Cricetulus griseus: one gene and its partner. The protein of the gene in region 1 interacts with the protein of each later gene in a pairwise test. Links are inferred from orthologs where the notes say so. Each region holds a gene or a part of one and is shown on either strand. Other genes may lie near its edges.

Region 1 (3,747 bases):
AGTAGAAAAAGCATATTTTTAACTGATTATAGAACCTACATAATATAAAAATGGATCTAAAAATTATTCTAGGGGGTGTCAGTGGCACACACCTTTAATCCCAGCACTGGGGAGGAAGAGGCAGGAGGATCTCTGGGAGTTCCAGGCCAGCCTGGTCTACAGAGTGAGTTCCAGTACAACCTCCAAAGCTACACAGAGAAACCCTGCTTCGAAAACAAACAAAAAAATTATTCTAATCTCTTAACCTGCCCTATTGATGGGGGAAAAAAAAAAAATCCTTTAAAGCTATAAGTACTGAAGTCAATTAATATTACATAAATTAGAGGTGGGTGCAATAAAATACTGTAAAGATTGTATGTCTCAGCACGAGTTTACCACTACCTTGTTTTAAAATAGCAAAATGGCAACACTGAATATATGCTTAAGCATTGTGTACCAAATGAATTAAACAAGCTCCTCAACATCCTACTTTAAACCATTTCTGTAAATTTATAGCCAATATTCCACAGAATTTATTTTCCCAATCAAGACTTTTGTATTACTGCAGAATATTAATCTTCACAATCAAGCAAAAATCAAAAAAAAAAAAAAAAACTACACCAACTGTTAGGTTCAGTGTGAATTTTAGAGAATTATATTCATTATCAATCTGTGGTATGTTTAGTCCCTAACCAAACAATAAAAACCCGGTGGTCTGGTGGGAAGCAATCATTTTTCAAATGGAATCCTGATTAACATGATCACTAGTGTTCATGTCTCTGTATCAGAATTAAACGAGTCAGGACTTTCCAACGCACGACCTAACAATTAAAATCTACTTTGAAAGAATCTGAGATTCATAATATAGCAGTAAAAGTTTATGTCAAGACTACAGTGCTCGTTGACAATTTATTCTTTCTTCCTAAGAATGTCTTATAAATGGTCTTGTTTTCTAATTTAAGCACCTTTCTGTCATACACCCAACCTCACACCCATTTGTGACTGCCCGAGGGACTAGACAGTGCATCACATCCTTCAAAGGGGCCCTCGATATAATTAGTACAAATCTCGCCCAAAACTTCAGAAGAGTGAACAGTGCTGTAAATTCAAGCTCACTAGATTACAGCAAGCAAAACGAAGCTTCAATATGGGCATATCACTGGCATGGTGAGCAGTGTAGGGTTTTTTTTTTTTTAACTAAATATCCTTCATAAAAACAGATGCCTATCGTGTCTGAAGTCTCAACGCTGTTATGTAAAGACTTCAGAAAATCAAGATACGAGTTTTTTCATGGTTCCATACGTACTCACCAAAACACAGTATTCCTAAAGAGCCTCGAGACCGCTTAGTATACGGAAGGCGCACGAAAACAGAGGCGAACTATTACAGATCATCCCCATAACCGAGATGCTTTGGGCTGAACCAGTGCCTCGGAACAGAAAACAGTTGGCCAAAAAAATAAAGAAAGAAAAGAAAAAAGAGTTTGCCAACCGGAGTAAAATCACTTCGCGGAGATAACCGGCAGCAACGCGGGGAAGCGAACACGGCGGGCAGGACACCCACCCGGGCGCCAAGCCCCCGGCGCCGCCGACCGCGGGCAGCCAGGACGAACATGTGCGGTCGGCGGCTGGACTCGCGGCCCGCGGCCCCGCCCGGTTCTCGGGGCCGGTTCATTCATTCTGCACCCGAGACCGCCGACCAGGAGAAGGGGGCTCCGGGGCGAAGCGGCCAGCCCAGGCCACAACCCACGCCCGGAGTCCAGGCCACGCCGCGATTCCCGCCCGCGGGTGAAGAAAGCCTGGCGAGGCCCGCGCCGGTCCCGCGCCAGACGCCAAGCCCGCAGCCCCGCCCTCCACCCGGCACCGGCACCGGCCTGGCCTCCCGTGCCGCGCGCGGCCTCGCAGCCCGAGAGCCCCCGGCGTCCGGCTTTCAGCGGCGGCCGGAAGTCTCCTCGGCGCCCCCTCCTCAGCGCCCGACTTCCCCGCCGCCGAGGCCAGACCCTTCTCCGCGATGCCTCGGGCCCCTCAGCGGCTGCCGAGTGAAGCGTATGGCCGCGCGGCCCGGCGCGTTGGTGGAGGAGAGCCGAGCGGGAGGCCCGAAGCCCGCCTGGGCGGTTACCTTAATGATCCTGCGGGGCAGCCCGGCCATCTTGTCAGATCCCGAGTTCGGCCTCTGCTCTTGTCTCCGGCTCCGCTCGCCTCACGCACGAGTGGAAGTCCCGGACTCCACTTCCGGGGGACGTCGCCGCGCCCGCCGCCGCTGCCTCCGCCGAGGCCCCTCGGGAAATGTAGTCCCTGCTTGGACGCGGGCTTCGGGCGGCCTTCCGTCCGACCTGATGGCCCCCTCCCCCGCACTCCCCGCCCCAACCCCAGCCGGGGGTGGCGGAAGTGACGCTCCGCGGCGGGGCAGGGACTTGGGGGAGGCGGCGCCAGGCAGCGCCGAGCTGCTTCGCCCGCGGCAGAATCTGCGCGAGACTGGGTGTCCGGCGTCCACGAGTAGCGTACGTGCGACCGACCACGCCTGCGCCGGTGGGCGACGTAACAAAGGCCCGGCCCCCGGCGTAGCTCATTCATTCATTCGTTCCATTTGTTCATTCAATGTTCCCGCATTGCGCGGCGGGCTGACGCTGCGCCGCATCTCCGTCGACCTGGTGATCGGGGGGCTTGTTCCAAACGAGAAGCACTCGATGGCAAAGCTTCTAACTGGGAAACTGGTTGTCAAGGCCCTGACAAATAATTCTAAATGTTTTAATTTCACATAAAAAAAAAAGGGGGGGGGCCTCGCCTGGCGGTGTGGCGCACGCCTTTAATCCCAGCACTTAGGAGGCGGAGGCGGGAGGATCTCTGAGTTCGAGGTCAGCCTGGTCTAAAAAGCAAGTTGCAGGACAGGCTCCAAAGTTACACAGAGAAGCCCTGTCTTGATAAGCAAACAATCAACAAAAAAAGGGAGGGGGGCTCTCCGACCTGTCCCCCACCCCAAAAGGATTTGCAACAAGTAGGGGAGTAATCCCTAAAGGAGTAGGAGTACCTTCAGAGTGAAGGCCCTAAAAGTGGAGGGGTCCCAAAAGGGATTGTTGGGTGTTTTCATTTCTTTTCCTGTTGCTGTGATAAAATATCCTGTAGCACGAATAATAGTTGATATTGATAATAAAAACTCAGAGACAGATATTGAGGTTAAGGCTGAAGATCAGAAAAACAAAGTGGCCAGCCACTAGAGAGTTCTCACCTCTACCAAAGCTCAGAAGGAAGGGGAGATCCTTGTCCTCAGACTGCATTGCTCTCCACCAACCTCTAAATCCAAGCTTTCCTGTCTCCTTCTGCCTTATGATTCCTCTCTCTCCACCTCCCTACAGGTTTTCCTAGGGTGGTGGTGAACGCAGATCCATCTGCCTCTGTCTTCTGGGATTAAAGGTGTGTGCCACCAACTGTCTGGCCTGAATGGCTGTGGCTAGCTTTGCACTCTGATCTTCAAGCAAGCTTTATTAGATCATAAAATATCACCACAATACTCCACAAGGCAACTTAAAGGAAAAGGGGTTAATTTCAGTTCAAAGGGGATAATCACCATAGTTAAGGACAGCTGGTCACATCGAATTTTTCATGCTAGTGCTTACCTCTCTGTTTATACAGCCCAGGTGACAACCACAATTAAGATGGGTGTCCATACATCAATTAAGTCCCCCACAGGCATGCCCAGAGGCTTTTTTCCCTAGGTGTTTCTAGATTCTATCAAGTTAACAACACTAACATACATGGTTTGGTGCCTTCA
Region 2 (3,747 bases), on another chromosome or scaffold:
TGACTATATGTCAATCTATTATTACTAAAATGCATTCCTTTGAGGGGGCAAGGGATATCATTTCTGTGTTTAAGATTTGAATAGCAATGCCACCATGTAACAGTGCTACCATGAAATCAAGGATGCAGAAATTCCAGGCTCAAGCCTGTTAAAGTGAACTGTTGAATACAATCGCCTACATGGTCTGCGGATCTGGAAACAAAACCACCTTGAAGCTAGCTAAGACAGGAGAGTGAAGCTGGACATTCTACACCCTCTGCTCCCTGGCCTGTTCCTCCTAATTCCTCCGCTAGCTGGACACCAAAATGTCTTTGTTAAGTACATTTTAAAGGTGTGCATGGTCCATTCTTTGCTTTCCATGGCTCATTTGCTCTTGGATTGAGAGTTATAATCTCTCCCTAAAATTTCCACCCCTAGTTTAGGGTTGTTTGTGTTTTTGCATGTTGGCTAACATTTCCCCTAAAATTCCAGCTTGTTTTCCTGATCAAGGGGTTCATGGAAGCCTTGTTCAGTTCATGAATCCAACTATGCTCTCCCTCAAGACTGCCACAGAAATTTAAACAAAGAATATGGCTCTACTAGAGTTAAATAAACACGGAACCAGGTACCTTGTGCTTGTCTGCCAAACTCGTTTTATATAAGCTCCTCTGGCTGACTAAAACACACAGACCTTTGCACCTGGACCTATTGGCACCTAACAACTCAGCGTCTCCATGTCTACTTTTTAACAACCTGAGGAGGACATTGTAACAGCTAGTCACAACTTGGTCTTATACTAACATTCTTTTTGGCTAAACCTCCTCCAATACACATGTGTGAAAAACACATTCTATCGCAAAGGTAGACAAGGAACTGTTTTTGGAGTTTCACCTCAAGCACCTCAAGCCAGCTGTGCCCCACCCCTCCCCCAAAGTCCCCAGTTCTCGGGGACCCGACTTAAAACACGGGCTCCGATTTTTACAGATCCTGACAATTTGGGGTGGGCGTGGTGGAGCAGGTCTTCAGTCCCAGCACTCCAGCCACGGAGCAGGCGATCTCTGCGAGTTCTGAGGTCAGCTTGGTCTACAAAGTGGTTCCAGGCCAGCCAGGTCTTCAAAATGAGACTCTCTCAAAACAATAAACCACAAACAAAAACGAAGATCCTTAGCTGTCTTTTTTTTTTTTTTCTTTCACACACAGCACAAACTTGCACAATGCCGCAGGGTCCAATGTCCAATCCGGGGACTGAAACCAACGAATAAACATCTGCGGATAAGAGGGGTGGGAACGCCAGAAGCACACTAACCCAGCAGGCGTCCGCCAGCCCAGCGCGGGTGGCAGCCCCTCTCTCTTCCCCCCCGCCCCCGCACCCTGCAGCTTCTGGCCCCGCCCCTCCCGAGGCCCCGCCCCGATGCCGACGTCAGTTGTTATGTCTTGACTAGGGCCGGGGCTGCAGCGGGTCCAGTGCTCCGGGGGCGGCGGCTGCGGCCTGTGGAGGCGGCCGGACGGCGGCCGCGGTTGGCGCGGCACATCCGCACGGGGCTGGGCGCCGCGCAGCGACGCAGCTGACACAGGAAGCCGCCCGGGAGAGCCGCGTCCGGGCCTAGCGTTATTTGCTTTTTTTTTTTCTCCCTTCACGACAGTCGCCTCGCGCTCTAGATCGTCCTCTGCAGGAGCCGCCGCGACGCCCCCTCGCGGGCCGCGGCCTCAGAGGCGCCGCCTGGGAACCTGGAGCCCCTGCCGGGCCTGGGCGGCCGCCGGGCCCTGAAGCCTGGGCGCTCGGCGCGGCACTGCGGCGGCCGCTCCTCCCCGCTCAGGGCGCGCCGGGCCCGGGCCTGGCCCAGCGGAGCGCCGGGCCTTCCCGACCGCGACCACGCAGCCCGGCCTCAACCGCTCTGCGCCCGCCCGCAGTCTGTCGGAGCCGCCGCGGGCTCGGGCCCCGCCGCCGCCGTCACCCCCGGTTGGCCCCTGTCCGCTCCCAGCCGTCCGCTGCTCGATGGGTGGGGTGCTTTTGAGCGTCCCCCCTTCTCCCTTTCTCTGCTGTTGACCGCAGGGACAGCGCCCGTGCCCTGCCGGTCCCCCTCCGCCGCACGCACGCCGCGATCCACCTGCCTCCCCGCGGGGATGGCCCGCCGGTGACCGCCACCTCCGCGCGCCCGAGCTGCCCTCGTCCAGGCTGCGCTGCGTCGTCCTGCACTCGTCCCCCTCCCCAGTCCACGGCGTCCCGGCTCCCGGCGACGCCAAGAGGGCGAAGATGTGGCTGAAGCTGTTTTTCTTGCTCCTCTATTTCCTGGTCCTGTTCGTCCTGGCCAGGTTTTTCGAGGCCATTGTGTGGTATGAGACTGGCATCTTTGCTACCCAGCTGGTGGATCCCGTGGCATTGAGCTTCAAGAAGCTGAAGACCATTCTGGAGTGTCGAGGGTTGGGCTACTCCGGATTGCCCGAGAAGAAAGATGTTCGAGAGCTGGTGGAGAAGTCAGGCAAGTGCCGGGATCCCCGGGGTCGCCCTCGCTGACCTGGCTCTTTCTACTGAAATGAGGCGGTCCCCGGAATGGTCAAGCAGACTGCTCCGGAGAGCTGCCCAGGTCTTCTTTGACCACGTTTCTACGAATCTGTAAATCCGGGTTTTGTAAAGGGGGCTGTTAGGTGTATTGGTGTGTTTCTAAGGTTCTTTGGAAATGACAGTTTGAAAATGTAGCTTTAAAAAAAATTGTTAAATTGAATGATTTATCTCAGAATTCAGGAACGTCTGTTGAAATTGAGTAAAATGTAGGGAAAGGAAAAACTTCAAAATGTAGCTGTAAATAGCAGCATCTGTCTCCATAGTAAAAACAAGCTACCGGGAGGGTAAAGCATCATTAAAATAATAACAAAGAGGCACGTGGATCTAAGATTTACATGTAAATTATGTGTTTGGGTATGGTGTACAAGGTGCAGATTTTCTCCTTTTACTTTAAATGCAGTGAACATTTTTTGTGACTGTCGGCCTTACTTGGAGTTCATATTTTCTTGCAGGATTACAATTTTTATTTTTGAATTTTGAATGTATACCTTTCTGGTCATGTGTCACAGGCATCTCTGCGTCACTTAATGGGTTGAGGAAGACAATTAAAATAGGGCTGAAAGAATATTTAAAGCCTTAAATAATATATTGCTGAAAGAATATTTAATGCCTTAAATAATATATTTCCAGTAGGCGTTAATTTGGGGTTTAGGATTGGGTAGGGAAATACAGTTAATTTGTTTCACTGCTGTACAAAGAAAAATGTCTCCTGACAGAGAATGTAAGTTGAAAAAAGGCATTCTGAATTGCTGTAGGAAGCATTTAAAACTGCTGATTGTCTTTTTGTTATTTCAAGTACATCTGTCAGTTGGGCCTTTTACAACATAATTTTTTTCCATATGTAGTACTATCTAGACACTGTAGTGTGATAGGCAAGAATACAAGCTATAGCAGTTCAACACTTGTGGATTGATAGCATAAGAGTTATAGAACTCATCTCACCAATGGGGTAGAGGGCAGGAATCCTTTGCATAAGGACTACCTTTTTCAACTTGTGTATTATTATTGCCCTTGTTTGCTGCCTGGTTTATGGTGCTATTGGTTGTTGAGGGAGGGAAGTGGGTTGGTGAAAGTAAAAGTTACTATCTCATACAGTTATTTGACCACACTCCCCCCACCCACTTTGAGCTTTATGTTAGGCATTTTGCTGCCTTTTGAGCCTGTAATTGTTCTTTTTGTTTGTTTGTTTTTTGTTTTTTTTTTCC

What was found.
Region 2: the proteins of Ube2n (region 1) and Rnf103 interact in a two-hybrid assay, tested with the Homo sapiens proteins (3 studies listed by BioGRID and IntAct). The link is inferred for Cricetulus griseus from reciprocal best matches to the Homo sapiens genes UBE2N and RNF103.

Annotation. Positions count from the first base shown.
Region 1 is NW_023276806.1:161,500,746-161,504,492, reverse strand, and holds the start of Ube2n (ubiquitin-conjugating enzyme E2 N), read right to left. Parts: upstream 2,286-3,747; 5' UTR 2,128-2,285; coding exon 2,098-2,127; intron 1-2,097. UniProt on the Homo sapiens protein: The UBE2V1-UBE2N and UBE2V2-UBE2N heterodimers catalyze the synthesis of non-canonical 'Lys-63'-linked polyubiquitin chains. This type of polyubiquitination does not lead to protein degradation by the proteasome.
Region 2 is NC_048601.1:63,196,651-63,200,397, forward strand, and holds the start of Rnf103 (E3 ubiquitin-protein ligase RNF103), read left to right. Parts: upstream 1-1,438; 5' UTR 1,439-2,233; coding exon 2,234-2,459; intron 2,460-3,747. UniProt on the Homo sapiens protein: Acts as an E2-dependent E3 ubiquitin-protein ligase, probably involved in the ER-associated protein degradation pathway.